Linked DNA regions of Drosophila melanogaster. The protein of the gene in region 4 interacts with the protein of the main gene of each other region in a pairwise test. Each region holds a gene or a part of one and is shown on either strand. Other genes may lie near its edges.

Region 1 (7,390 bases), on a different chromosome or scaffold from region 4:
TTCCGGCAAGATAAGAACACATCTCTCAGACGCAGGCTAATGGGTTAAGAGTGGAGGTGGCTGTTGGGAGAGAAGGACTGCTGGTTTGGGCATAAACAAATCTTAGCTGTCAAAAGTGCTCAAAGCCATTGTGCTAATCTCAGAGTTTTGGGCTCTGGGCAGACAGAGAGGACAATGCGATTGCAATTGCAATTGCAATTGCAGCAGTGGAGAAACAACGACAACTCTAACGGCATTCAATAAATCACTAAACACTTGAATGACGCTGCCAATGCAACTTGCAACACATTGCACACAGGCAGAAGCAGCAACAGCAATAGCAACACCAACAACAGCACCAACACCAAATGCACAGCAGCAACATTGAAGGGGGGGGGGGGGGTTAAACGGAAACGGATGCCAGGATCCAAAAGGCAAGGCAGGCCTCATAATTCAAAATTGAAATTGCAACAATCAATTGCAACAACATGCAACAAATCGTTTGTAGCCTGGTAGCCTAATCACTGCACGTCCATTCAGGGGGACTTTGGGGCAACGAGGGGCTAGGCCGCCCACCCTTTGGCTGACATATAAATCTCAGTTGGAGTCGCAGTTGTGGCAAAGACGATGGCCAGAAATTGCAGAGAAAGTGCGGAAGGACATGTGCCACTGGTGGGTTAAGGCAAACGGGGGTTAAGCGGACAGCGGGTGGCAAAGTTCAATTGTTCGAGTCTGCAGGTCCTTTGCTGGTTTGGAACTTCGAGCCATGCAGAAGATGATGATGAAGGAGCTTCGCTTGGCTTAATTCCGTTCGGTTTGCTGATATCTCAAAGATGCCCTACACTCTGGACGAAAAAAGTGCCAAATTAATGACAACCCATAGGTTGTTACTTAGGTTTATGCAAAGTCTGAGGTACTGAGGTAACCTAACCAATTCGAATTGCCCAATTTATAGGTTGACATTTTTGGACATTTACATTTTAGAACCGAATTGTCACTTTGTTAGGCAGAAGTAAAATAAACTGAATTGTGACAACCGACGATGTCCTTTATTTTATTTAAATTATTTTTTACGCAACTAAAACACATATACCAATGCCCTCTACTTAGTCTCTTGTATGCAATTAGTACCGATTTACATGACAAAGTGCAAATAAGTGCTGCATTTAACCCAAGGGAATGAATGTGGAGAATGAGTGTGTCGCAGGTGCTTTCCCAATCAGCCGTAGGGTATAATTAGTCCTGCTCTCGGCTGCTAATCTGTGATTTTCCAAATTGTTTCACAAGTGTCATAAATCAATGAAATACCAATAAGTCGTCGTCGTTGTCGTTGTCCTGCTGCTCTTCCTGCTGTTTTGCTCCCTCTGCTGCTACTGCCGTTGCTGCTGCCGTTTGCAATTGTTCGAAAATGCAAATTTTGCAAAAGGATATGCCCATGCATAAATGCTGGGCTGCCGAAGGGGAAGGGGGGGGGGATGTGTTGGGTTCCAAGGGGCCAAAGAGGCTAAGAGGCTAAGGGGCTAACGGGCTAACGGGCTAAGGGGGCACACGGAAGGACTCTCAGGTCCTCCGGCAACGACAGCAGCCAGAAGCCAGACACGAAGCAAACATATTTCATGCAGTCTCAATTGGAATTCTAAATCAATCAGATTGAGACGACGCCGCCGTCTCCACTCAGCTAACAGCTAACCAGTTCAGTTCTGTGCCGTTGGGCACTGTTGTTACACAGCGGCAAAAGTTGGGTAACTTTCATTAATTAAAATATACACAATATTTCATTTGCGATTTCAATTGATCACAATAACTTGTTCTTAATATTATATTGAGCATACTAATTAATAATTTGATGAAGCATTCCCACATTGAAATTTTGAAACTTTTCGTTTCGCATAGTGTTCAAAATTCGTAGGACTCTGTGCATTAAGTAAGACACAAATCATAATCGTATGCGTGGTGGGAGCGGGGGAATTCCGGGCGAAGGAGTGGTTATATCTAGGTGCCAGCTGGGCAAGGATCTGTGGCCTCGGCGTCGTCCTCGTCCTCGTTTCCCGTCCTGTTAGGAAATGCAAAATTTCAAATATGAATTGAACTGATATATTAATGGCCACTTGAGTTGCACTCTCTTCAGATCCTGGGGACGTTTGTCAGCCAAAAGTAACTGCAGCTTCCTGGGGGAAATTTCGAAAATGCGGAAGGGATGATGAGGTGGCTGTTGCTGGTGGTATAACCTGCTCGGTGTTGGCATTTATAAATCAAAATTTTGGGCCAACAACCTGCAAACATACGCACACCGAAGGACATTCTGCATCCGTGTATCATTGTATCTGTGCTTGTGTAATTGCCAGGACCTGGACTGCATCCTGTTTTGGGGTGGGGGCTGGCGGATTGGGGATTGGGGATTGGGGTTTTGGGGTTCTGTTTTAAGGGGGTGCCACAATTGCAGCAACTTATCTCTCGCCTGCCCATATAAATAATGACAAGCACGACGACAAATAATAACCAAACGCACACAGGACATGCCGCAGGACAATAGGCCTGGGAGAAAAATAGGGTCGAGGTAAGGACGACTACTGTCTGTGAGTGAGTGTGCATAATATGAAAATTTATGTGCGGAAAGGATTGAAAATAAATTTATGAATTATATTGGTTAGAAAATTGCATCTACTCAAGGATATCCTTAATGTCTCCAGGATATGCATGTGTTCAGCTAGGCTTGCTCATTGTTTTTGGGGCTATCTGTTACATTCAACAATGTCCTGATTCAATTTATTGTTTGTTTGATTTGCATTCTGACCGGAGACACTCGCCAGATATGTGCCTGTATATCCCTCTATAGTCGTATATATAAAGTCCTGCGTCCTTTGTGCCATTTGATTAGCGATAACAGCTGCAATTTGCGCCGAAAGTGCTTTTCGAATTATCATTGACAAAAATAAGAATCCTAAAAAGTAACACACGCAGCCAAGGCTTATCGTAAAAATCCAATAAAAGTGGGCCACAGAATTCGGTTTGGGGACTTTTATGATTTTTTCCCCTGTTCCTGCTGACATTTGGTAGTTTATGACTGGATTTGGTTTCGATGCAGAGAGAACAAAAAATAATTCAGTTCAACACGTTTTAACTTTATGCGTACATAATAATAATAATAATAACATTAGTATCTGCTATTTGTATATCTTTTAAGCATTTTAAAAGGAATTTTAGTGTTTTGATATAAGATTTTATATTTGAGATTGCTTGCTTGCTATGTAGCAATGTTTTTTTTTTCAGTGTTGCAAATATGTCAAAGTTCAGTAACCGTATTCGATGGGGGATTTTGAGTAAGGTAAAAGGAACTGGTCATAAAACTTTCCCGACACGTTTATGCCTATCTGGGTTGTGGATCTGAAATCTCAATGCCAATCCAAATATATATCCACATTCTGTGGCAGTTCATCAAATGCTCGACGACAAGTCACGAGCGCTGCAATCTGGAGTGGCTTATGGCATTAGTTATTAGTTGGGGGGTGGTTGGTATATCTGCTTATACAGGAGGATACATTTCATTAGTCAGACATCACAGGCGCATTTTACAGAGACGTGTTTCACTAAGAGACCATGTGAATAAAATGAAAACGGTGTTTGGTACTTTTGGTAAAAAAAAAAAACAATCACCAAAGGCATAAATATTACATATCTCTAGTTTCTCGAAACTTTTAAAATCGCTCAATAAAATTCTATTCGCATTGGAATAAACATTGTTACCTCGACCTAGACCCAAAGAATTAGGTTCATTTGAACTGCAACCGATTCACAGTTGTATGATCGAAAATGAGAGAGCTCCAGTGCACATGATAATTGCAGACGAGTTGAAATAATGTTATTACAAAATCAACACCTCAATTAGATATTTAATGTGACACACCAATTACGCAAGCAATTACAAATATACTCTTAATATATTTGTTTGAAATCGGTTAAACAATTGGTGGCCCATAAAAGCGAGGTGTTCGAGGCCAATGTCAATCATTCCACATCAAGATGCGTTTCTGTCTACTGTTCCTTTTGGCCATGAGCTGCTGTCTGCTGGTAACTTAAATGCTCGATAACATTACAGATTGCGCATATTCGAAATATTCGTGCCCTTTATTCTAGCAATTCTCCGTGGCTGGAGTGAATTTGGTGCGCGGACTGGAGGCTGCCGGTCATCATCGCAACTTCACCGGCTCACCACCACCGCGTGGTGCTCCTCCACCACCTCGGACCACCACCGCCAGTTCTTCGGGTTAAATAAATTGAAAGCAAAACACGAGAAAACTGGCAAAATTTCCATTGACGGACGATTTAAATGAAACCTACCATTATGTAATCCTATAGCTTCAAAAAATATAGAAAAACCATTCCAGCAAAAAAAAAAAAAAAATAGTTCCAGTGTTTTAAACCACAGTTTTAGTAAATATTCGTTTTTATTTATTCGTAATTGGCAATATATCTATCTTATCTCGTTTTAAGATACTGAAATGAATTCATTGAAATATAAAATTCTACATTTTGCACAATTTGCATCATTTATTATCTAAAATCTCTTCGCTTTTGTGAGACTTTCATTATTGATATGTAACGTCTGAAACCATTTGGCCGGACTTCCCGCGCGGCGATTAAAATCGGCATTAATTTGACAAAAGTTCAACGACAAAAAAAAAATGAAATTAAAGCTATCTGATGTTGGAGAGAAAATACAGTATACATATATAGGCTGGGCCATACCCTACATGGCCCATGGTCAGAGGTGAGGCTGCAATTTGTGATCGTATTTGTTGATACAACATATCCAATTGTCCGTCGTCATTGTGGCCAATTGAATGGAGCTGCAAGAAAAGCGAACTATAAAAATGAATGGAAGCGCCGTTGAACACAATCAGTTGTTTGGGGGAATTCTCGGGCCGAGGATCACGATGAGGCAATCCATAAAGCACATATTCGCACTGTTGGTTGCCCTGGAGTGTTTAAGCCTTGGCGACACGGCGCCCATCGGTGAGCATCCGGATCATGCCGGATGTATACGGATAACGATCATCAAGCGACCATTGGCCACCACCACCACCACGACAACAACAACAACTACAACCACAACAACCACTACAACCAGAGCAACAACCACGGCCGCTGGTTAAAAAGGAATATTCTAAATTCAACACAAACAATTTGTAGAAATACACTTAGCTCCTCTGATCAACGCTTAAGAATAGTTTCCAAATCTTATAATCTATGGTTTAACAGTATATATCCAATTGGTTTCTTGAATACCATACTATTTTCGAAATTCTACCTTTATCGCAGGGTAATCTTCAATTTATTCTGTTGAAAACGTTGTAATGCCCATTCCTGCCACTTTTCAAATGGAAAAGGCATCCGAAATCATTGCATACTTTGCGGCAGACACTCGAAATGCAATTTCAGCCACGCCCACTCCCCAAGGTGATGTAAAATGGGCTAAAACGGCTGTGAAAGGCCACCGCACAATGCACAAACGAAGCTGCCGAATATAATTAAATATTTTATCGCATAAAAGTGCCAAAAATGAAACGACAACAAGAAAATAAGCAGCCGGCATGCGTTTTTCCATCTGGCTCCTCTGACCATTGTGCTTTGTGTACACTACAAAAAAAAATATAATATTCCGTATACTACAATTTCGAATCATAGTATTCAAATAAACTTAATTGGATAATTACTAACAGCAGCAAAAATAGTTTTAGCCTTTAGTTATTCAAGCTTTAGTGGTAGTACTTATGTCTTAAGTATTTCGATGGAGCATTTTTTTCAGTGCTTTTGGCTATATGTGTGGTGCACAGGTAGAGACCACCCCTTCGTTCCTCTGGACCTTCACTTGTAACCCCTTTTGGAGCTCTTCTAATTCTATAAGCTGACATTGTTTTGGCAGGGAAAAGATTGAGGGAAACTCGAAGGGGAAGGGGATTGTTGGAGGAACACATGTTCCCCGCAAACAATAAACCCGCAGCTCGGAGTCCCTCTTTTTCGACCACTGCATTTCTTGGGTCTCTTTTAGATGAAATCTTTTGGTCAACAACAACATCAGCGGGCCATTGTTCTCGCCTTCCATTCTGTAGTGGCTGCTTTTTTCGACAATTTCCATATGAATTTTAATTATAATTTTTCTATGCTCATTTTCATGAAAACAATCAAAAATGACTTTTGTGCCGCTTGCCCGCCCCTCCCATCACAAAAAAAAACAACGAATGTTGGTTGAGGGGCTAAAAGGAGCTTGAGGTGGGCCCGTTGCAAATTGTCACTAGCATTTATATGGCCACCAGGCATCTGAAAATTAGGAAACGGAACTACATACGCGAAGGCTTTGTTTTTCGAAAATTATTGCATGGTAAAAAGTCCAATAGTTTATATACCCTATAATTTCGAAATATAGTTGAAAATTATAACGTATACTATTATATAAAAAAAATATTTGCTGACAGTTCTTAAAGCGAAAAACTGCGTGAGAAAATATTATATATTTGCATAAAAGGCAAGAGATTTTGCATAGAAATAAAGCTTATTATTTATTTTAACCATTATATTTTAAAACATATTTTTACAAGTTAATGTCTTGAATCTTAACATAGGGTTCGATCAAATGGTTCAAATGGTATGACTTTACTCACAACAAAAGGGTAATGAGATTGGGATGAGGAGCAAGCAAATTATATTTGAGCATAAAAAGTAACACAAAAGCAACACGGCGACATAAACAAGTTAACAGAGCGAGGAGTTGTTGGCTTTTGTAGTTGGCAGTTTGGCACGTTAGCGCTGCCAGCTTCCGTTTCCTGCCGTGGCCAAAAAACAATCCACCCATATGACAACTGTCGCTGTGCCCCCCTTGGCCTGGCCCCTGACCATTAACCCCTTAACCCCTTAGCCCTTAGCCCCTAGCCCCATAACCCTTAACCCCTGTCACTGGCCATGCATACAGCATAGTTTTTGAATATACCGCGAGATGGCGCACCTGTGTCATCTACGCTTTTGTCCAGATTTTATAAAAACAAAAAAAAAAACCAAAAAAACTAAAAACCAACACACAGCCCGGAAACTGTCATTATGCATTCTGATGATATTTTCGCCGCCGTCTCTCCTTTGTAGAAAATTATTTTTGTAGTCGGCTAATTAAGAGACAAAAAACCATGGGAGTGTGTTGTACCTGTATATGGCAACATACCATATGTCGTCTTCATCATCGATAAAAGTTTTGAAGCAAGTAAGTAGATGAAGGAGTTGCACAGACTGAGGCAAAAACTAATTTCGCAAACATTTGTCAGCTCATTAACAATTCAATTTGCTGCATAAACGACCTAAGCATACAAATAAAGATGGGCGTTTTGTGACCCCAACGAAATAGTTGGGCCCACTCGGATGCAGA
Region 2 (8,806 bases), on a different chromosome or scaffold from region 4:
TATTAACATCTATTTCAATTTTTTTTAGATATGTTGGGCTGTGTGCATCTGTAAAGCTGATTGCCTTGGTTATCTTTATGGTGGATTGGTGGCTGGTGCGAAGGCGAAAGCAGCTTGAGAAAATGAAGCCGCTTAACGCCAGCGATCCAATAATCGGATCCATCATTAGCCTAGACAAATGTATGTTTATTATCGAAATTACTAATTATCTATATCTATATAATTATATATATATCTATCCTTTTCAGTATTTGAAGAAAAGCTGTCGGGTGCCGAGCCGTCTACTGCATTTGTTGGTGGTGGAGGAGAGCTGATCATACCCACAGATATACTTCGTCATTCCCGCAATGATTCACGCACCATGCATATGGATTATTGGTAAGTCCTATCTCACATTTATACTCAAGGACTATGGTCTTAACCAAATGTCTTTCCTGCAGCTACGACAAATGCGGTCGTGTGGTAACACCGGCAAACACCTGCAACCAGCCACAGACCAAGTCTAAGAAACACTTCCGTAGTGCCTCTTGTGACGTGAAGATGATCAAGAGCTTTGCTCGAGATCACAGCTCATCTAGCGGACCTGCGGATGCGGCTGGTCAGGATGCTGTTGGTGCCAGCACAAAATACAAGAATCTCAAAAAGTTCCAGGCGCACACGCGCAATCACTCGACAGACCTACACGACCCCAGTCAACCCATCCGATATATTCAGAACCAACTTCGGCCGCAGGACTGCCCCGAAGAGGATGATGACGAAGAGCTGACCACCGGATGCGGACACTTCGTTAAAAAGCACTCTCGTAACCACAGCTACGACCAAATCTACATGCCCAATAACATACGCTTCGATGCGGACTTCCTACGACACCCCCATTCACATCACAATCCCAAAAAGAATGTGAATGTTTTAAAGAATGTGGTTTCGGATGTGGGCAAGCTAAAGAATTCAAATGAAATAGAAGCTGGTGGAGCTGGATCACGTGGACATTCCCGCAACAACTCGAAGGACTTGAACACCAAAATTTCTAGTGCAACTCCTGCTTCGGGTCAGGTAGTAACGGATGCCAGTACCACGGGCCTAAGTGTGCTGAGACATCGGCGAACCAATTCCAAGGATTTAAATTATCAAGTGCTGCCGGAGTCTGCTGCCTCCAGTTCGGTGTCAGGGCACGCTCATCCTCAGCACACGCGAAACACGTCGCACCACAAGATCCAGATCGATGACGATCGTAACGAGCTCATCAACGATAACGATGATGAAGAGGAGGAGCGTTCCGCGTGTGCTTAGTGCTAGGCCATGTAGCTATAAGCTAGGATTTTCGATTTGTGGCAACATCAGCAATGTCTCCATTCCCGGCGGCAATCGCCTCATCGTACTTTGAGTGTATGTGGTTCATGCCCGTTTCCTGATGAAGTGACTCGTCCCTCAGCTGCTCATTGTACTTACGACCGAGTGTTCAAATCTACTAATAGAAGGCATCTGAAAATAGAAATCTTTTGATATATACAACATTCAACCAGAATTCGAATCCGAGTCAGATACGATTACGAATCCTTGCAGATAATATTTATGTAACCAGGCGATAGAATAGAAATCCTAGAAAGCAACTAGCATATTTTAAGGTAGGAGTAGATCGTTGTGATAGGAATATTTTGTATTGTATTTTAGTGGAGTGTAGATTAGATCCGTAAAAAGTCGATTAAGTGTTTGAAGTCTGCTGCATACGTTTCGCTTTATTTCGACTTTATGCAATCTCGGTTTCGAAGTTTAACGATTGACTGAGAATCAGTTGGCGAAAGAAAAGAGAAACGAATAGCGAATTACAATGTTTTAATAATCCGAACATTTAACCATTGTCAATGGAAATTGTGCTGTGAAACAATTTGTGAGTATAGAAAACAAAAATTAACGAAAACGTTGAATTAGAAAGAAAGTGAAAATACGCTGAATGTAATTCTTATGCAAATACATCATTTAGAGAATCTTTGTGGACAAAATAGCGATGGGTTCGAATGAAGAATAGGTCTGGAATAGTTTTATGAAAAATCCTAAATTCCCTGTTTTAATGGTAGCGAGAAAATCAAGTGTCTAGCCTAGATTTTAAAACCGAATGATGTACTTTAAATGCGATAATGCCTTAAAAATATCAATTAAATATACACGCGGATAATATCAGTATCTCAACTGAAATGGGAATTCAATCGATCCATCCGGTTGTTTTCCTACGCACTGCCCGAGTGCAAGACCCCCAGTAGTCCTAAGTGATGCAATCTAGGTTAATTAGTAGCAACTATTTCTATGTTTACACCAACCAGCCACATACAGTAGGAAAGGAGGCAGAGAGGAGCTCCTCGAGCACTAAATAGATACATCCATATAAGAAATATATGTATACAATTGTACGTTAATAAGTACCTACGCGTAGCTAATAATTCGTATCGGGATATGTGTTTGTACAACATAACTTATACATTATTGAAGAGCGATTTTAAAACGGACTACAGAAAGTGAGTCTTAGGTGCAAAAGATCATATATATATATATCATATATATGTTTACTCAAAAAGTGTGTTTTAAGGAATACATATTTTTACTTAGAGAAATATTGCAAATAAACTAATAAGGACATGTATGAAATGAAAACAATGAGACTCCTAAAATGAAAAACAAAATAAACCAAAACTGCATTAAACAAGTCAATTTGTTTTTTCTTAAAAGACATTATTTTTAACGAATTTTTTAGTTATTTGAAATTTTGGCACAGTGGCGCCCCTACAAGATGGTACTCGAATTAGGGAACTACATAAATGGTGTGACCATGATGTTTGCAAGTATCTTATATCCAAGACACAAACCTAACGTACTTTAAATATAGATAACATTTTTATTAAAAATTTTTTTATAAATTTGGTTCACCATATAATATTTAAATTAACATTGTTATTTAAGCAACAAGACGAGCAAGAAATAATTAATTTTTAACGAGCCTATCTTTTGATTAGCATTTCTGATGATTAATACAAAAAACTTTTTCCATCAATTTGGGTTCCACATAGGTAAAAAAAATAATAGTGTTAATTAAATTGTTAAGACTTAAAATTTGATCGATTCTATATGTTCGTAAGCAATCGAATAACTTAACAAAGTAACTCTGCCAGCGATATCCACGCAATTCAACTCGCTGATAGCTTATCTTTACTGTTTTCAGCAACAAAAGATTTTTCAGTAGCTGAGTAATTTTTACCACTACGAATTGAAGTAATACAAATCGAACAAATGGAGAAACGTGCTACATCTACCATGCAGGTTCTCTATGCAGAACTGGCTGCCGGTGCGTATGAGCAATGTCGTTGCGTATACGCCATGTATTGAAACTCCTTTGCAGCAAAGTCCAGAAGTGCGGAGCTGGAGGAGGAAAACATTTTGCTGCGCCATCGACTAAATCGCGCATCTGCCAGCCACAGCACCAATGCGGCCATAAATGTGGAGGCCAAGATCATGGTCTTCCAATTGGAGGAGGAACGAGATCGTCTGGTGGAAACACTGCAGAAGCACAAGAAGAAGTACAACAAACTGCATGACGCTTATCTGGAGAAAGTGAAACGTTGTCGTGCTTTGGAGGAGATGTTTAAACGGCAGAAGACGCTTACAGGCTTGGTAATGAAGTCCTCTTTAGATCAAAGAAATGCAGGTGTGTTAGGAAATGGAATTTTTGCTTAAAATTAGATCAATACTCTAAAAATCTACTAGAGCAACGAATGGCTATGGAGAAAAGGCAGTCGGCCCAAAGCGATGTCAACGAATTGAACGAGCTGAAGGCCAAAGTAGAAAAACTTCAAAGAGCCCTTGATGAGTCATACGACATTATTGACGAAATGGATTTTGAACTTGAGAGCGTAAGACGCTTTAGAACGTATTAGCAAGCTTAAGTAAAAATGATTCGTTTAAAGGTGGAATTACTGGAAATGCAAAACCAATCCTTGCGGGACGAATTAGCCGCTTTTAAGGCAAAATCAGAAGAAGGAGCGACCAGTCTGCCGGCCTCGCTACCCAACGATGACGACCCACCGCCCAAATATGAGGAAGACTATCCCGGACAGCATCATAAAGCTATGCAGGCCCGGCGCTGCTCCTCTAGCAGTGAATCTGACCCCAAGGATGATGATGCCGACGCAGAAACTATGGAAAGAGCTGCTTTAACCCATAGCGTAAGCTTTAATCCTAATTCTCATTAATTATATATGTCTGATTGTTCCTTGTATTCAGCTCATACAAACTGTGGAAACAGAGAGCAATGCCCTAAGACGGGAATTGTTGAGATCCCGCTGTCAAAGAACAATTCGCGCCAAGTTGGAGAAAGAAAGCGAGCCTGTTGATTAGGATAAGTGGCGGGATTAATCTTATCACATAGCTCCCAGCCAAAAACTAAACAACCAACCAATAGATCATAATAACAAGTAGCCATACTAAAGCTGATGAAACTGATCACTAAGTTTACGCACAGAGAGCAATAACTAGACGGCTGGACTAACCCAGATTCCGAACCAACTACGCCTAACCAGTGCACATACCAGAATTTGCTTTTAAGGTTCGACAAACACGCTCGGCGGCTGCGTTAAATCAAAACTTTTGCGATATAGTAACCCGGTTTCTTGGACTGCGCGCAGAGAAACCCCTCGTCTAATGGCGATTAATTAAATTATTTGCTAATGCCATCAAACGAGTTGCGGACAGATCACCTGCCAAAAGGATCTGGCCTCCGAGCTGTGAAGGTTCCAGCCCCCGACTTCTGCCCTCCCATCCCATTTCCAATTCGACGTGGTGCGCTATCCATTAAAACATGACAATTATTTTTATGACTTAATGCAGTCGGAGGCCTTGTTGCCCAATGCCTAATGTTGCAAATTATTGACAAAGTAAATTAATCTCCACATTTGTTGGTTGGACCAGACAAACTAGCGCGACACCTCTAAGATCACCATCAAGCTCTCCCACTTGCGGCATATTCATTTGGATGCTTATCGAATGTGCGTCGCAAAAGAAAAATCAAATGCGTCATGGGTAAAAAAACTACAAGATTTTATAAATTTAAGTTTTAATAAAAATATTTTTTAAATTTCTTTATTTTGGATTCGGTGGATTTAGAAATTTCTTAAAAATATTAAGTGAGTTTTACGTCGTTTTCATTAGAAAAGAAGAATTAGGAGAATGGAATGGTTACTATTTCGTTCGACATGAAGCCTAACTTGGTTCCTAATTTTTTGCAGTGCATGGCTCAGGCTGGTGCGAACCACATTTTGCATATTTCTTGTTTAATTATAATTTTTCGGGGCTCACTTAATGAGCGCGCTCCACTTGGTCGGCGATCTTGTTTGGGAGGCGCGTGCCGCAAAGCGACACGACGCCTTGGGTGGATTGCCACATCCAAGTTGGATCGAAGCGTAGCTCTGGCCTGGTAATCAGTTGGCCAGCTTGTATATAAGCAGCCTAGGACTACCCAGATTAATTACTTCGATTTCGATCTTTGTCGAGTGCATTTCAATACCCAAAGAGTTCTGAAAGGACCAAAATACCACAAAATGATGGGAAAAGTGAGTGGAGTGGAGGAAAAAGGGTGCGATACAAAGGATTCTAATGCATAGAGTGGTGTCTTCCTTTTAGGTTACCTATTTGTTGTGCCTGTGCCTGGCCAGCGCCGTTTGGGCCATTGAATTGCAGGCGGAGCCGGACTACGGACCAGTGGCCTACGAGTTCCAGTGGTCGGTGAACGATCCCCACACCGGCGACATCAAGAGCCAAAAGGAGTCCCGCAAGGACGACAAGGTCGAGGGTGTCTACGAGCTGATCGATTCCGATGGCTATCGCCGCATAGTGCAGTACAAGGCGGATGATCACAACGGTTTCGAGGCAATTGTCCAGCGTGAGCCCACGGACATCAAGATACCGTTGCCTGAGCCACCCAAGAAGCTCCTGGCCGCCAAGATCCTGACTCCCGTGCTACCGGTGGCGCCACTCGTCCACTACGCCGCCCCCAAGGCCATTATCAAGCAGGAGCTGTCCGCCGGGAACTATGTCTCTGTATCCGGACCAACAGCACAGTACAAGTACTAAAAGGATCTAATGACTGACTTCAGCTGCATAAACCCATTAGGAAACCCGTCTTGACCCGGGAAAACTCACTGCCATACATCATAATTTAGTTACAATTAAGACAATTGAGTGTACATACAGACAGCTTACATTAACCTACAATAAAGATGCATCCCATTCAATCTGTTCGCAGAGGAACACAAAAACTTGGATTTTTTAATATAGGGAATATACTTAAAAGCTGGGTGAGGGTATTTTATTGATATAAAAAAAAAAATGAGTAGTTGAGTAGTGGTTGTGTTGCAAACATACTTATATAAGTGTGAAGATCAGTTAAGAAAAATATAAGCCAAGTGAAGAAAAACCACATTATGACAGTTCACAAGTGTGACACAAAAAAGTGAAAGATTATTAAAACCAAAAAAAAAAAGTGGTGAATGAAATGCTTGACTTAGTTCAACTCGCTTGTGTGTTTGGCTTCTTCAGTGAATTCGTATCATTATATTTGCGAATTGATGTCTCATAAAATGATGCGTCACGATACAGGTGGCTTCGATACTGTGATAAGCATAAACTAATGCTATCGCCGCCAGACGCGACATGGCCCATAGATGCCTCTAATCTCACGTAGCTGCTGCCACTTTGGGGGCGTCCAATTACCGGCGCAGTCGACGTCGTCGATGGCGATTCTATTGGATTTGGCTAACGCTCTGACCAATGCATCCATGGAGCATCAGTGCGAAAATGGTCGGCTGCCCGGAGACACGACAACTACTGGTCACATTGCTATTGACCCTTGGCTTCTGCCTGGGGGGAAGCTCAAAGGATACAGTTGCGGATGCGGATGCCAAGTGGATGGCTCCACTTAAGCAGTATGGGTATACGCCGCAGCATCTGAAGAACAAAGTGGAGCATGGTGAATTCACCACCTTCGAACTGGGCACCCCCAACTACCAGATTCTCAATCCCGAAGACGAACCGGAATACATAACTGCGGATCAACCGCATTATCAGGAGATGCTGAGGCGACTTACCAGTGGTCGTAGTAAAGCTGACACCATTGATGTGGAAATGGCAAGTCGCACGGAAACGGTTCGCGAGACTTCCGATCCGGGTCAATCTAAAAAACCATCTCAAATTCAAGTGCCAGTTAAACCGAAGACACAACTAAAACAAAATCGCTGGGAGAAACTAAGGAAGCGCAGCTCCATCGAAAAAAGACGTGACCACAAGGAAACCATGGAAACTGATGTGCGGGATGATCAAAGTTTCTTCCCTGATATTCAGGTTTACCCCGGCTTACCCTTCCAAAGTCGTGTAGCAAATCTAAATTAATCATAAATAAGTCACCTCATCCAAATGTGCAAATGGCTTTGATTTTAAGTGATCTCTGGTGATTCGGACAATGAATAAATACTAAAAGTATAAAAGTAAAAAAAATAAAGTACTTTTTTAAAGGACTACTTTAAATAAATCGGAGTTTTTTGCTATTTTTCTTTGTAAGGCTAAAATTGTTATGACTTTTACTCGCAATAATGAAAATAGTGATGTTGCTTATTTTTGTTAAAACAAAAAAGATTAAGAGTGCCCCCAATTTTAAGCAGAGTTTTCCCAAAATGTTGTTTAAATAATGAGCTAGACAAAATGTTAAATGGTCAAGATACTATTATTTAAATCAGTAAAGCTTTTGTACTCAATTTGTAGGAAGATAATTTAGGTATTGAGCAATATCGCTTACAAAAATACCATTATCCATAGTGTACGTGTAGACCTTGAGTTCCACAAAGAATTACAACCAAAAATTGATAAGTCAATCGACCCCAGACGTTAATATCAGATCTAGGCCGAGACCCAGAAATTATAAATCCCCCAAGCAGCTGGAAATTTTGTGCAGAACCGAAAAAATGATCATTGCGGTCGGAATGGTTTTGGCTATTTATAAAATTAAAGATTTCAGGAGGATTGTTTATTCTGGCTAATGAGAAACTGCCTAAAAAAAATGCATTATGAAGTTCGTCTTTCTCTTAAAGGTTATTGTCATGCCAAAGGTCATACATAAATATGTTTGCTATATGTTTTTGATTAAACAACTCTTGTCGCGAGCACTCCAAGCTATCGACGAGTGCGGGCAGAAATGCTTGAATGTGTATTACGGAAGCGGCGGCATCTGGCGATTGTCTTTACCCATTCCGGACCCATTCCGGACAACCACGCCCCATTCCGAGCCGTTTGGGGCGTTTGGAACGTGATGCGGTCAACGCTTCCGCGACCCATTTGCTCGGCGTTGTAAGAACGAGAAGAAGAAGCTCTCGGCCAGCGCAGCGTATTTAAGAGCTATTCAGCAAAATGCATGAAAGAGTTTCGCACGCGACCGACCAACAGCCAACAAGTGCCATCCATCGGCGATCCGGGACAGAAATTCCAGCAATTGTGGGGAAAGTGATCGAGCGAGCGAGGGAGAAATTCAGTTGAAAGGTAGGGTAACGGGGTCAATCGATTGGGAACGATTCCGGCGCAATTCTCTGACCCATTCTAAATTCAATATTCTCCCCCCTTCAGATGTTCGAACGCTGCAATTTATTATTTATGACCATGCTGATGGCATCGGCACTATTGACCCAAGCCCATTTCCCGGAATATTGTGCGGAATGTGAACAGGAGGTGTGGGAACAGGTGCCGTGCAGCGAGGTGCCCACAACGGTAGCGCCAACAA
Region 3 (7,704 bases), 7.1 Mb from region 4:
TGCTTCCTTGGCCGTTTCTCATATACAAGTGCACCTCCCACTCACCAGGCTAATGGTGTCCAGGACTAAAGGCACGCACCAGCGCCTAAACGCGTGCTGAGCTGGAAAATATTCGCTTTTGTGGTTGGTTGGGAGAACGTAAGCCACCTAAGCCACCACCGTTCCAAATTTCACCAGCGACAAGTGTTTATTTTGGCATTTTTCCCCTGCAAAAGCCTCTGCTCTTCCTTTTTTCCATCTTTTTTAGCCTGGTCAGCGCTTGACAACGCACTCAACCCGATAGGACAGCCTGGCCAACCTCAATCCCTCGGAGAGGGAGAGGCCTTTGTTGGCCTAATGATTATTGCTTTCCCTTCGGTTTTTTCGGTTCCTGCATCGGTATTGTTCTCCTTTGCGAAAATATCGTATATTGTTCGCCTTTGCCCTTCGCTGTTTTTTTTTTTAGGGCGATATCCCCACGGACGTGAAAATTCATTTTGGGGAAGTAAAACTGAGGGCTGTCCTCGAGCTGATAGGGATTTTATGTTATTTAAATGATTTGCTAATTTCGAAGAGCTTATGGGCTCCGCACTAAAACGCAACATAAATAATCCCAATTAGGAGGCTCTTCTTCAATGAAAGGGAAATAACCAATTATAGGCTTAACGCAAAAATGGCTTTTAGTTATTAATAGGTATTAAATGTATATTAATCAAATATGGATCAGGAGGATATCAATTTGTTTTACCCTTCCTTTAGTTATTCTCTTGTGGTTATAATAATTTGGTTCATTTGTTAATTATCTTTGTTTAATGGTATAACGTCTCGTTCTTTTTTTTTCTCGTTCCCCTAGTTTTTTTTTTGTGGTTATAATTATTTAGTTCATTTGTTAATTATCTTTGTTAACATATCTCTTTAATGGTATAACGTCTCGTTCTTCGAGTTCGTTTAGGTCTTCTAGTTTCTCTGGTAGATGGTGAAAATTCTTCTCTAGGTGGCTCATAATGTTCAGTAGTTGTTTTAATTTCCACCTCTATCGTTGCACAACTGGCTATGGTTGTTTGAATTTCTTTCGTTTTTAGTTGGGGTTTTGTTGCGGGACTCAATATGACTTTCTTTTTTTTCTTTGACTTTTTAAGGCAATTATCTTGGCACTCTTTTTTTGAATATCCATCTAAACAATGAAGAGCCTCTACACATTTTTCTTTTCTAAGGACCCAAAGTGAGCGCAGCGGTGAGCACATCATTCGATACTTTATTAGCACCACTCCCAAAGTGCAGTAGTTTACATCTGAAATTGGGAGTAATGTACAACCTTAAAGCACCAAAAAAAGCGGAACTCACCAGGATCCTTTTTGAGGGATCGCACAATAATTGAAAAAGTTTGAAACAAAAACACACCTGCTGTATTTCTCATAGCTAACTCAAGAACACTGTGATGCTTTTATAATTCCTGTAAAATTGCAATTGGTCTAGCTTTTTAATAACACGGTTTCTCAAGTGTGTCAAATAGTTAGTTAGTTAGCTTCCACAAAAAACACTATTTGGCCTATAAAACACAGAGTTAGCTTTTCTTTGAAGCATTTGAAACTTAAAGCTGAGGAATTATGGCTGGATTTCATTTTAATTACGGTGGCATGTGCATAGCTAAATGGGCAGTGTTAAACTCCATTAGTACTAATAAGGTCATTCTCATACGCTCTAATGATGGATGAACACTCATTTATGAGGAGGAATTTACTTTCGCTTTTGCTTTGTTCATCCCCATGCCTTCCCTATTCACAAATTGACTTGGATTGCCGTCATTTTAAAGCGTAATAAATGTTTGGGATTACATGTGCAGCTGGTCGGACATTCAAATATTTTCTGCTTTAAATTACTTTTTAAAGAAAAACCACAAAAGCTTAGATGTATATGAATGCACTCAAAAAATCTATCTGAGCACTCAAAAGCATATATTCGAATAAGTGGAATCCTAACGTTGGTTTTTATGACTTGTTCCGCAAATATCTTTAACTATAAACCAATGGTTTTTCGGATCTTCTGTTTGCTTTGGTAGATTGCACATCTTTATTTGAGGATTAGAAGAATGAGACCTCCGTAGTAGTGGTTTCAATATGCGCCTCTTCTGTTGCACACATGGTTTTTATTTTGGCTGTTCTGTCAGGATTAGGACGTGTTTTTGTCTGGGTTTTTGTATAGATTTTAGGCATATTTTTCAATCAATTTTTCATTGATACCAAGTTTCCTAAGCCTTTCAAATAAGCTGCAATGTTCAAGGCATACAGGATTATATGGTTAATGTTACAATATTTCTAATAGTTGGATCGGACATTCCTTACACAGCCTTCTGATGATGACAACCTTCTGACAGGCCTTATGCCGGGGAACTAACTTTCGTTTCTTGTTTGTTAATCCCATTGTCATTATGGAGGAGATACTTTTTAATATTTGGCAATGCAATTAACCAAATGGAGTGGTTCATGAGGACCAGCTAATGATGATGCGGAGGGTTCGCCCATATTCCAGTTCATTGGCTTTTATAATTAAGTTTCGGGTACGCAATCACTTAGAGTGTTTGGAGTATTGGGGCAGACGACGCGACACTGTATTCAGACCAAAACAAATTTATGCAAATTTCGATTAATTTATTTTTGACACAAGCGAGAGGTTCCCACTCCTACAGGCTCGTTAAGGAGGCAACTCGCCTGCTAATTGAACGGAAATCTCGAGCTGATGACAAGAGAATTGGTTCATTGCCGGCAAATATGTATTCGCGATACGAGCTGATTGCAGCCGATCAATCAATCAATTTGCCAGCAAAACTTGACTTTGGATTCGTGCATAAGGAATATCAAAGTAATGAGAGCTACAGACCTAAGATCCTTGAAAATCGGGACTTACCCAAAGAACTTCCGCCATTTCCTGCCTTTCCCAAGGACATTGGGCGGCATTTTGGGGAAGGGACGTGGACATGTCGCCCAGAATGCGGTTCATATTTCAATTTCCGGAATGGAAGGAGCATTTCAGCTTTCAAGCCATGGTCCTCCGTTTGCGGACAGTTGCCACTTTGTTGCTGCCTTCAGTCAGTTGGGAAGTTTTTCACATTTCACATTTTTTGTTCAAAATTCTATTTCACTTTAAATTTGATTGATACTGCGGAAGTTGGTTTGCGCCCTCGAGCGTATGGCTCTCTATTTGATTTAGCTTTGCCATTAGTTTGCTTTTGTAATCTCGGGCTTGCTGGGATTAAATGTGCTGCTATTTCTTAAGCTGTTTGAGTGCCGAGTGAATCATTATTATTAATTTCTTTGCCTTGGCTGTTGAACCATCCTAAGCTAAATATGGTTTTCATATATATGTGGTTTATGTACTGTGGCACTCTTTTCTGCTTTCGAAATCACCAAGAGCTTATTGGTTTTTTATTCTAGCTATTATTTTTAATGCCTTGTTAATAATTTATAATTTCTGTAAATACTATTTTGTATGAAGTGCAGAAAGCTCCCAAACATAAACACACACCACAGAACACTTTTATAAAATCAATTCATATATTGTATCTGTAAATTCGCTGTGCTTTTCCATACGCTTCATAATAACTCATGCTTTCGATGCCAATAAAAACTGAAATCGACCTGCAAACAATGCGAAATACCTTACAAAATTAATAAAACTATTTGTGAAAAAAATGAAAACAATTAAAACTCCCTCAACAAAAATAATCGAAACATTGTGCACAATGACTCGGCGAAATTCAACGGAAAATCAACCCAAAAACAAATAACGAACCATTGAACCAACCAATTGAAATTATTTCTGCAATCAACTCGTCATAACATCCGCCACCCACCCACAAAACAAAACCAACCCACCACCACCCGCAGAATGTCAATGTTCTTCTTTCGATTGCATAACCTGCAGCGCGCCGAGGAGAACAAGCGCAAGAAGCGCGTGGAGCAGCAGCGCCAGCAGCAACGCCAGCGGAGGGGGGCCAAGGTGTTCAAGTGTGTCAGTGATTCCACCGGCCACCTGACCTTGGCCCCCTCGCGCCTCTTCGAGCGCACGCCGATGAGCCCCTCGGACAGTCTGGACGAGATCGCTCTCCAGATCCCCAGGTGAGTGGAGTCGAAGGCGTGGCTTCGATGGTTGGGTTCTCCGATCTGCGGGTGCCATCGAGTTATGCTCAACTTGATAAACACATTTAAGTAAAATGACAATACAAATGATAATTTATAAATAATTTATCTTAAAGAAGTAGAGTATGGTGCCTATACTCTGAATTATCGATTGTCATTAGGAATGACTTAATAATATGTTCCCTGAGTCCTGCGCAACTATTTATTTTAAAGGGCTGTTTATAAAAGAAAGAAATATTGAGTGAAGAACAAATTATGTAATATTTATCAACGTTTTTTGCCTTTAGATAGAAGCATTTATTCAAAGCATGTAAAGTGTTGGACTTGACTGCACCAAGTGGTGGTAAACTACTTTTTTCACAAGTGGGGCAATAAAGGATTTCATGGCTTACCTCACCCATTCGGTTTTATCTGCTGCTGAGTGACAGCGAACTAGCTTCAGAAACTTGGGCACTCTATGGCTTGTGTGGTTTGGTGCGGCTCTGGTGTAAATAAATAAACCAAATGGGATTTTTCAAGTCACTTTGAAAAAAATGTGGTTATGTCAAGAAAGCTTTACAACGAACATATGTTACATATGAAATAGCTGAAAATTCATTTTACTCTGGATATTATTCTACAGATTATTTCTTGGTTATTAAGTTGCCGAATTTAGAAAGGCTTTTGGCCGTCAGGCAGGCTTTGCTATTCCATCCATTCTATTTCAGCCTTATCACATATCAAAATTTTAAAAATTTTAGGTTTCCAAAATTTGTAAATTTTATACCCCGATTAGCTAGATTTTTATTCCCTAAGATGCGGATGCTTTGCGACAGACTCTCCGCCCTGACGGCTGGTGCCATGGTCGGCGTTTGGTACGCCCAGAACTTCCCCTGCGAAAATCCTACGGATGGAGGCGACAAAGATAAGGCCAAGGACAAGGCCAAAAGCACGGATAAGGGAAAAGAGAAGGAGAAGGATAAGGGGAAGGGGAAGGATGGTGGCCAGGACAAGGGCAAGGAGAAAGGCAAGGAATAGGGATAAGAAAATAGCTAAAAAGGGGTGGAAAAATCACACCATTTAGACGATACAATACGATACGTATGTGCAAGTCCTCTTAAACGAATTTCTCCTCTAGTTAGTCCAAAACGTACTAGTAGACATGAGCAAAACTCCAACGTCGACGATGCAATTGGCTTGAAAAGGAAAAGTTTGAAGTAAATGGCCGCTGATAACGCTTCCGAAAGAGCTATGTTTATATGGTTTTATTATCACATGCTCTGAAGCAGATGTTAACGATTTTGCATTTAAATAATTATACGAGAATGCGTATTGTATCATCTTAAACATCGTATCTTTAATTTTTGGGGATAAATGTCAAATGACAATGGCTTAAAGCTCGCTGCGTAAATTCGTATTTACTTATTTTGGTTGTGCCCCCAACTGATTTGAATTTCGCACAGTGCTGCATGCGACAAAAGTACGCAGCGATTTCAATAAAAGTTGCTCACCGAGGTGGTGTAATGGTACTCTAATTTCGCATTTTCACAGCCCAGGGACACACGTAATCCCACCTAATTAAATTGTCCTTTGAAATCGTTCGGTTAATTAAGTGCGCGCCAACCCCAATAATTTATATTGTGTAGAAAGTGCTTCAAAGCAGGCTGTGAGATTTGGGTTAATGGGCTTTGAAACTTCGTGCCGACACTTTTCAGTTATCCGTTTTGGCCACAGCAGCAAACTTCCATGAATCTGGAAAAATTCAAAATTGTTGAAATTTAAAAAATCATTTGTTGTTCTGAGGACACCGACGTCTTCCTTTGGTTATCATCTAGCAACACCATGCATTTGATGTGCGAGCGATTGTCTGCGGTTTTTGCGGGCGTCCTAGTGGGTTTGTGGTACGGTAAGACCTTTTCCGAGGACGAAAAGCCCAAGGAGAAGGGCAAGGACAAGAAGAAGTAGACCGACCGATCACTCGCAAGACTGGCAGAAATCAATACGATCTTCTTAGGTGCGTATCTATTGTGCGAAAATGAGCCATAAGCCGCAAGATTATGTCTTTGATCTAGTAGTCGAGTCGGCAAACTTCGAGCCACTTCAACGTCCTGTCAACGCGGCAGCTCTGACATAGCTCAGTGTTTATTTGGCTTTACAATCAGTATATCAGACTTTCGACGTACACAAAATTTATAACGTGTTTGGTTTTAATTTAACATCCATCAGACAGCGATTCCAGTTTTGGTCTAAATTGTGGCAAATCCTGTCGAGCTTTTGCAGCCATGCCCTGTTGTAAGCGTACCGAGGTCCGCAGGGTGTGCCGGCCGATGCCGTCGCTCCTTGCCAGGCTCAACTGTACGCCGTGCAACCGCGTCCTGTTCTTCGTCATCGGGGTGGGACTGGGCGTGCTCTTCGTGCGCAACAAGGACGACAAGTCGGGCGGCAAAAAGAAGGACGAAGGCAAGGCCAAGAAGTAGGACTGACCGATCTGCCATGCCCGGCGGTAATATCAATCATCCAAGCCTGGCACTAGCTAATTGAACCTGGACTCATCATCACCCATGAAGTTACCCAACCGTTTGCAGCGTTAGCCAGGGAAGACAAAATGCCATTCGATAAGTTTGTCCGCCGATGAATGGAATGGAGAGGAAATTTCTCAGTCGATAAATTTATCTAAAGAGCAATTTGTCAATCGAACAATTAACTGCCACATTTAATACAGGTTTATTCGATTGATCTATTCTCTATTATATATTCCTCTGTTGAAAATGCTATAAAATTGGTGCTGTACAAGACTTACTGTGTTTTTAATATGGGCTCATTATTCAAATCTGTGGGAGCAATTGTTCGCTAAATGTTTGTAAATAGTACTTTAGTGACATGATTTGATTATTTCATTAATCGTCCTGTAACAAAATTTGCAGAGCACCTGATCGACTTCCTTATTGATCTTGATCAAGAAACGCGTTCTAATTCTTTTTCTTTTAAACGAAACTACGAGTAACGAGTTATGAAAATGAACATCGAATTTACCGATAACTAAGTGCCTATTACAATTAAAAATTGCAATCTTATGCTTTGTATAATAATTAAAGTCTGATTGACCAACCACAAATATTCTCAAATTTTTGTTGAATAACTTTAGATAAATTTACTAATTTTGGGTCCTTGCAGAGGGCAATACATTTGGTGTGTATTCATTGTACAATTTTTAATAGAATATCAACGTATTAGAAAGCCTTAGCGGTAAGAACATAGATCATGATCATATCTCAAAATCATCACGAACCCAAAATGTAAATTTCAATTTTCGGGTGATGTATAATTTTAAGCCTGATATGGTTATCCAAATTTCGCAAAGGCATTTCCTCTCTCCAGTTAAATATCCCATCCGATCTTGTTACTTGATCTGGAATTATAAGGGTGGACACTAGATAGTAAATAAAGAAGCCTTCCATCAACGCGGCAATGGACTGACCAATAGTTATCGTTAGGTATGCCATATAATGCACTTGAAAATTTTGAAGTTTAGAAACGATATGGATTCGATGAGAATTTTGGGGGAAAACATCCTGCTCCTTGACATGTCCGTTTGGGGGTCTATAGTCGT
Region 4 (7,940 bases):
CATTCTGATCAAACTCATGGTTGCCCAGAGACTATTGAAAGGTATATTGATGAAATATAGTAAGAGAATGCGGAAAACAATAAAATAATAGTTACAATAGCATCTGGCGATAGCTTGTTGAGGAAAGCACTGGCGATCTTGTCCTTATAGACGGTGAACCAAGCAGTTCCGGTATAGGTGTCACCTGCATTGAGATAAAACACTGGAGTTCCACCCTCCTCCGCCTCCTTGCGATACTTTCGCACCCTAGTTGAAGTTCATCAGCATGAATAGTTGAACTCTAGGCAAACTGACCGCACTTACTCGTATGCCACCCTGGCGAATCCTCCGTAGCACTGATCCGTATTGGCCTCCTCCTTGGAGCAGGTGCCACTGGTCACACTCGTCTGCTCGAATCGGGCGTGCATGTCATTGTTGTGCAGAATGATGAACTCGGCGGCAACTTCCGCCCGGGGTGCAATGGGATTCGGCTGCACAGGATGAATCAGTAGAGCCAGTAGGCAGCATGATCCGATAAGGAGACCACGGGCAGGTAACATTTTGGTGCTGGAACAATAAACACAACAATCGCTGATAAGTTATCACACACGAAGGGATGAAATGTGGGTGGATAATCTTCGGTGAATAAGCACTGATTCGCGCACGGCAACTGGTTTGTCATAATCATTGTTTTTGCACTCATGAAAATCTAAAAATTTTAATAAAAAATTAATGCACTGCCACTTAATGAAGCGTGTTTTAAGTATTAGTTCGTTTTCTTATCCGAATGGTTTTACACATGTAATGGAAACACTTCAAACGTTGTTAACCAGATTTTCTACTTAGACTGTTGAAGGTCCTTTTCGACCTTATCACCAATCCACTGCTGAGAGGCAAATATTTATCAATCACGAGCGCGCAGAAATCGCAATTTATAGTTTATTGGGTGTTTTAAATCTAATCGCCGCTTATCACTTTGCGTGTGCAAAAAAAAAACACACAAATCCCCAGCACATTCTGCTCGACAAATTTCTGCCATCGCGGTCCACTTCACTCGGTCAACTGGTTTTCGATTGAACTCGGAAACGAGCTCGAACTTCAGCTTGCTCATGGCATTGGCCTAAAAGCTAACTCGGCTCAAAAAGGCCCGATCGATGTTACTTCAGAAGCAACGAATTACCAAATACCAACGATCGCTACTCACATGCACTCGTCGCACGGTCCGCGGGCTAACTGACTGACCCACCAAATTGGCTGAGAGTGCGAGAACCGTTATTAGCCGAAAACATAAAGCCGAGTACCTTAAACAGCAAAACCGAAATTTACTGCCTCGCGAAGCGGACTGATTACGATAAGGCCTCGTATTGCGATTGCGGGTTAAATTGGCTGAGAATGACAATGCGATGCTCTTTCTGCATTACCCCATTGTATTTCGATGTTTTGGAAGCCATCGGAAGCAGACATATCGCGCGATAATCGTCGGTTATAGATCAGATAATGGTGAATTGGCTATATATTTATCTGACTCATAGCCACTCAGACAGAGGCAGGTAGTTGGCCCAACAGTTGTCTAAACACAACGTGACATTCCCACGCCGAAATATGGATTGTACTAAAAAATATATACAGTGCACGCTCGCTACGGAGAATTTACATTCGGCGTAACTCTAGCATCAAACAGCATTTACTTGTAAGTGATCTAAACACATGAATCAAAGATCACGCATTCGAAAGGATATTTTTGGAATATCTATATCTGTAATTAATATTTGCACTTTTGTTTCATAGTAAAACATTTTCACTGTCACGAAATTATATGCAACATGGTTGCTTACCTATATTTAGAGTATTTACTGTACATGTTTATTGACGCACCATTAACAACAGTCCGCCGATTGTGCCGAGTAAGCCGATCTTTGTTATTAATTTCCCGAAAATTCCAAGCAAGTGTCTTCTGCGAACTTTCAGGCACATTCGATTGATGAACAATGAGGCCTGCTTGTTGCACAGATTTATGGCCGCCAAAATGGAAGGATAGATAAATATTGGAAAGATGAATTTCACTCAACAGCCGCGTAAATTACTTTATGAGTTTACTGCGAAGTTCTACCCACACGAAATGATCACAATTGCCGGGTTTTGGGCCACAGTTCATCCCCAAATTATCCGCTGCCACTTGTCGCGTGCTTCTCAAACTGTTCAATCATATAGTATGTATAATGGCTCAATAGACACACGACAGCTGCGGCTGTGGATAATGTATTTGCTATTTACTATTTGCTGCCTGTGTTCGGGCAAATAACTCAAAAACGAAAGGGAAAGGTACAACTTTCCTGCTCGAGATGTCGCCTAAATATATCCGAAAGATACAAGATACAACAGCAATTGAGTTGGTTCGAAAATAAATAGAAGATGCTTCGGCCAAGTTTAACTGAAATGGGGAGAGGAAAACCAGCACGCAATATTACACAATGTCAAGTGTACGATAAAAATGAGATAAAAATAATATATATGATTCAATTTTGATACGCCCTTAACAACATCAAGTGCTTATCAAGTAAATAATGTGTACACACACCATTGCCGACATACTAAATGCAAATATCCAATCCATCCATATCATAAGTTCACAGACTTGACGTCTGGGCGTGATTATTTAAATGCCCCTTCCGAAATTGCGAAACAACAATTCGCTGAGATAGTGTCAAATTCGCAGCCCCAAATAAATCGAATAATGCCCAATTTCCTTGACCATAAATAAACATTTATTGCTATCAATGAGATTGTTTCTTTTTTTTTTTCTTGGGACAGGAGATTCTTCATTTATGGTGTCATCTTATATTTCAGCACTCCCCCCTTCCCCCTTCCAACAAACCCAAAATATAAATCCCTTTATTTTAAATTATGGTCATGATTACACAATGCGCGGACATAAACCATAAAGCGAATTATGTTCATTCCAAATTTTGACAGCATTATCGATTAGCATTTTGGGACCACTCCACCTTTACTACGTTAACAATCGGCAATAAAGCCGATAAGAATTGGTTCTCCATGCCAACGGAGGTAAACGTGATTTCGTTCAAACTAACTCATACCGCATACCAATTTCCATGACAACGAAATTCGAAAATTTCTCGCAGTGCTTTTAGGTGTGCACTTATCATTGCAGTGGCAGGTCAAACTAACTCGCAGGGGAAGTGCCGATCGAAGAGATGAATGTGAAGCGTGCCAGCTGCAAATGCTTATCATGGTCGGGCATACCGCACTGGGGAATCTCCTACAAATATGCACATTAAACGAATTTTGTATGCAAATACGAAAATCTATATTCGTAAAGAAGCATCGTGATCAAAGTTCAAGTGATCAAAGTTCACAAACAAAATTTTAGGTAGCTTATTGGTAGAATACAATGCTTAACGGATACGTTAAATATTACCTAAATAGCTTAACTGTCTAACCTGAATAACTTATTCTTTAAGTGCGTCAGCAGTGCACGTTTTGCCAAGAAAAGCAATTTAAGCAATTACATATATCGGTCGTTGTTCGCTAAAACCAGATCGAAACTCATTTGAAATCAACTGAATTAAAAGTCCAGATTCGTTTATTTGTAGCAATTAAGTTAATTCGTCATTAAATTGACAACTTATACATTCAAAAAAAATTCATGAAAATTTATACGCTCAAAACTTGATTACCCAAGATTGTAAGGTATTGATAATTTATTTATGTCTGCTTTAAAATGTAAAAAAAAGAAAATTTGATTAAAATGCTTTATTTTCGCACACACCCTTCAATGCAACCCTATTAAAAAAAAGGACATAGGAAGGTAACTTGGGAATCGGCTATGCCGCACCGAAAGGAAACGGACACGGGACAACAACAACTGAAAGGTCGGAAAGGACGAGCAGGGCGCGCCTGTGATCCCGGGGGGATGGGGTGCAGGACGGATGCACGGAGGAAGGGAGGATATTCGGAGCGCGGCTGCTGCAGCGGCAGAGAAAGAGAGAGAGAGAGAGAGATAGAGAGAGAGAGAGAGAGAGGTAGAGAGAGAGGCAGCGCCAGCTGAGGGTTGCAATATCCTGCTGCTGCCGTTCAGGCTGTGGCCTGTAGCCAGTATCCTGTTGCCCTCCCGCTTCAGCTGCCGCAACTCAAACAGCTGCAACAATTTTTTTTTTTTTGGTTGCCGATGGATTGTTGTTTTTAATTTCCTTGGCGCGGCACATCCCCTAATGCCACTATCTCTGGTCCCTGCCGCATTTTGGGGTTGGAGTCGGCAGTTGCCAGTTGGTCGCCGGGGTGCAGTTGGTCGCAGCTCAGTCGTGGCGATCGCCAGGTGAACGAAGGTTGTGTCGCGCAGGAGCGAGTTGGAAAACCAAACGATTGCAGCTTAAGTCTAGTAGATCATCCTCTAAGCATGTCGGGCAAACTGATCATGAAGCGCAAGCGAGCCAGCCAGGAGGAGCAGCAGCAGGCGCAGGAGCAACGTGTCCAGCCGCAGGAACAGCAACAGGAGCAGCAACCGACTGAAGCGGTTCCGGAGAAACGCCATCGTCCTCTAACTCCACCAGCAGAAGAGCCAGGGCAGAATTGCCCCAACCCGCCAGATGCCCCCAATCGAATCCTTCTGGAAGCGCTGCAAAAAATAATGGAGCTGCAAGCGGAGCTGGATGCCTTTGAGCAGGATCTAAACGATCGAGATGGCTATGCGGCTGCCGGAGCTGAAGCGGAGGATGTTGAGGAAAGTGACGAGGATGCCGAGGTGGCGGCCCAGTTTGCGCCACCGACGCCAGCCCAAAGGAGTCAGGCGGAGGCACTGGGTTTTGCCATGTGTGCCAGAGAAACATTGCTGTTTCTGCAGAGCGAGGGAATACCCACGGAGTCGCCACTCTACCAGACTCTCCTTGGGAAATTGGTTGGGCAAAGCGATGGACTTCTGCACGCCTGAGAGCAAACCGGAGGGCAGGAACTCCTCCTCATTCTAGTCACTTTGCTGCGATCTCATTGCAAGTAAAACGAGAGAGAGAAACCAAGGGTTGCGAACTTTCCGGGGGTGGAAATTATGCAACACAGGGATCTGGGTATTCCTAAGCTATTTACTCTAGTCAATTATTGTAAAGCAATATAAAACACATAAGCAACAACGAAATAAATTATGTATATTGAAAGTAAAACATAAAGGAAGAGGTTTTAATTAAGATTGGGGGGTTCCATCCTAGCTGGGAATAAAAAAACACTCTACTACATCGATTTTCGATACATTTTAAATATATTTATTTATTCATTTAGTTATTACTTGTGTTATTTAATTTTACATATAATAATTAATGAGAATAACTCAATCGCCATATATTATTTCTTTGAATTCATTTTGTAGGTATGTATATCATATAAGTGTATATATTCTTATTGTTGTTAGGGCGGGGTGTTTTTGTTGTTCGGTTATTTCATTAACTTGGTATCATAAATTATCTGGGGGCTTGGGGAATCGCCCTAAAGTAGCATTTGTTATAATTTCATATTAGTTATCTGTATAATTTGTAACAACGATAATTATTTGTAATAAATGGTTGTAATTCCTTTGTATTATCTGTATTACTGATATTTCATTAAAACTAGATTTTAATTGTTTTTAACAATTTAACGTTTCACATGGTTGTATGTAAGTAAATGTTTCTTAAGGTTTTTGGACAAGATATCGTTTTATTCATCTTCTTATTCGAATTCGAGTATATGTTTATTTCATTGCGTTAGCAATGCCAACTTTATTCGCTCGATACTCAAATTAGGTTACATAAATATTAAAAATGATAATATCTATAAATTGGCATTTCAATTGGTAATTTCAGACCGGGAAGGGATCCGTCCATTGCCATCCACTCCCTCCGAATCCCTTCCTACAAACATTTGGCACACTCTCTTGGTTCTACTTAAGCTCTACAGAGAATTCTCATTAATCTAAAAACTAACTAAAGTGAGAAAACAGGAAACGAAATTTTGAGTTTTGGCAACGGATCAAATTGTCGATTACGAGTTATGTTTAGTTTTGTTACTTTTGTTAGTTCAGTGTATAATTAATGGAGACAACTGGACAAAGCAGACGACTCATTTTTGAACAATTGAGGAAACGAAATTTTGGGTTAATTACTTTGCTTTATCCAGCGTCATGGGTTAAATGTGTTAAGTACATTGAATTACATTGTTATTACGTTAATTTTGTATTGAGTTACATTGTTGGTTTAGTTAGAACTTTATATTCGTGTATAAGTAAATGGAGTATTTGTTATTCATACGCTTACGCTTGCGTTTAAGTATTCTTTTTTACTCTGTTATTGTTTTCGTATCTGGTGTTTTAATAAAGTAATCATTTGCAGCACTATCCACTTATGGACATTGTTTCACAATAAACTTGTATATATTTTGTAATTTGTTAGTTATTTGTAGTTCTTTAGTATTCGATATATTAATTCTGAATGCTCGAGTATTAGATAATTTTTGTTAGGGTTATTCTGTTACCTTTCGTGTCAACATGGGGTTAGTCGATCTCTGTTAATTATGTAAATATTAGAATTTGTAAGTGTATATATATATATTCTTTATCTGTATCGTTAGTTTTGTTAAATATATGCATATATAAATAAAATTATGGTTTAAGTGTGCCCTCTGTATTTATTATTATATTCTATTAAGTTAATTAATCTCATAGATTCTGTCTCTACCGACCGTCAGTCGGGTCCTTCTTTCCCTATACATAGCTTTGTCTTGCTGTATCAACTGGATTCGCTCTGTATCATCTGTACGCCAGACTATCCCAGCTCAACTTTGAGCTGAGCCGTGTGCTTAACTACTGATCACTCCCGACCGAATACAGCTCCCACTAATCATTCAGGCTCTTTAGTATCTTTAAGATGGTTTGTAAATAGAGATAAAAAACTGGACACAGTTTCGTCTGTGTTTTATAGCCAACGCGAAAGTATGGTTTTCGATTTGTTGATCCAGCCTCATCATCATTAAACGTTAATCCTTGCACGCAAAAATATATGTATAAATATATTTGTTATGTATATGTTTTGTATGTGGTATATATCGTAAAGTTCATTTTGTCCATTTTGTAAATACTCCTCCTACGCCTTCCTCTAATCTTATGAACTCAAGTGTACAAAGTTTCTGTGATGTTCATGTTGATGTGATTTTTCGATTTGCTTGTTCTGCTTGTAGTTCTTGTATCTGTTGGGTTCAGAAAAACTGCACGGGCAAGAACGGAAATGTGCCAATATGTAGCGAAGGATTAGCAGGTCTGTAAGAGAATGTTAATTTGGATTTAGAGAGATGTTCTTGTCTTTGATTTGCGGTGTATAATCGAAAGGGTTTTTTTTGCGTTTTCGGATCAATGCAAATCAATACGGGAACTTTGACGGATAAGCGGAGAGGTATATGTATGTTAGAAGCAAGCAAGCGGATTCACATAAAGCCCGTGTATTCATTTGCATTGTCCAAAGACATCGATTTAGTGTGGGTTGTGTGCAAGGACGAAGGAGTTCTCTTCTGCGTTCGATAATATCGCATTTCAATACCTTACTAAGAGCATATTGGGCACTGAAGCGGTTGTGGTGGTGTTGTTGCTGTGGTTTTTACTGCCTAATGTGTGATTGTTGATATTGTTGCTGTTGGCACTCTTTTGGCCATCCATTGGACCAAGTCGATAGGAGGATATAAATGAAACGTCGTTGGAGTTTTTCTCACCGACTGGGTGAAAGTTGCTATTGCAATTATTGTGGCTACTGGTGTTAATCATATTGCTGGCCCGGCTGCCATTGCTGCTGTTGTTGTTGTGGCCTGATAGCTGCGGTGGGAGATTTGGTTGCGACTGTTGGAGTTGTTGCTGATTTACCTAAAAGATAGTTGGGATTATTTTTATGGATCAGTCTGTTTATCAGTTGGGTACTCACCTTGGAACTGCC

Evidence for each region.
Region 1: the proteins of insb (region 4) and CG15036 interact in a two-hybrid assay, tested with the Drosophila melanogaster proteins (one large-scale study listed by BioGRID).
Region 2: the proteins of insb (region 4) and CG17855 interact in a two-hybrid assay, tested with the Drosophila melanogaster proteins (one large-scale study listed by BioGRID).
Region 3: the proteins of insb (region 4) and CG42733 interact in a two-hybrid assay, tested with the Drosophila melanogaster proteins (one large-scale study listed by BioGRID).

What each region holds. Positions count from the first base shown.
Region 1 is NC_004354.4:7,422,336-7,429,725, reverse strand, and holds CG15036 (uncharacterized protein), read left to right. Parts: upstream 1-4,883; 5' UTR 4,884-4,913; coding exon 4,914-5,132; 3' UTR 5,133-5,199; downstream 5,200-7,390. Other genes in the region: CG32726 (uncharacterized protein), read left to right, coding at 4,000-4,047, 4,114-4,248.
Region 2 is NT_033779.5:9,537,365-9,546,170, forward strand, and holds CG17855 (uncharacterized protein), read left to right. Parts: upstream 1-3,158; 5' UTR 3,159-3,279; coding exon 3,280-3,334; intron 3,335-3,388; coding exon 3,389-3,694; intron 3,695-3,753; coding exon 3,754-3,899; intron 3,900-3,953; coding exon 3,954-4,211; intron 4,212-4,269; coding exon 4,270-4,383; 3' UTR 4,384-5,116; downstream 5,117-8,806. Other genes in the region: Oatp30B (organic anion transporting polypeptide 30B), read left to right, coding at 29-180, 249-378, 441-1,290; Cpr30B (cuticular protein 30B), read left to right, coding at 5,583-5,594, 5,665-6,114; CG13113 (uncharacterized protein), read left to right, coding at 6,811-7,428; CG13114 (uncharacterized protein), read left to right, coding at 8,653-8,806.
Region 3 is NT_033778.4:10,353,905-10,361,608, reverse strand, and holds CG42733 (uncharacterized protein), read left to right. Parts: upstream 1-4,808; 5' UTR 4,809-4,910; coding exon 4,911-5,121; coding exon of another isoform or gene 5,122-5,132; exon of another isoform or gene 5,133-5,232; coding exon 5,233-5,315; 3' UTR 5,316-5,438; downstream 5,439-7,704. Other genes in the region: CG43396 (uncharacterized protein), read right to left, coding at 882-1,270, 1,324-1,396; CG43397 (uncharacterized protein), read left to right, coding at 5,937-6,059; CG12902 (uncharacterized protein), read left to right, coding at 6,377-6,571; CG46298 (uncharacterized protein), read right to left, coding at 7,704-7,704.
Region 4 is NT_033778.4:17,472,423-17,480,362, reverse strand, and holds insb (insensible), read left to right. Parts: upstream 1-4,090; 5' UTR 4,091-4,396; coding exon 4,397-4,927; 3' UTR 4,928-5,149; downstream 5,150-7,940. Other genes in the region: veil, read right to left, coding at 1-31, 96-246, 304-539.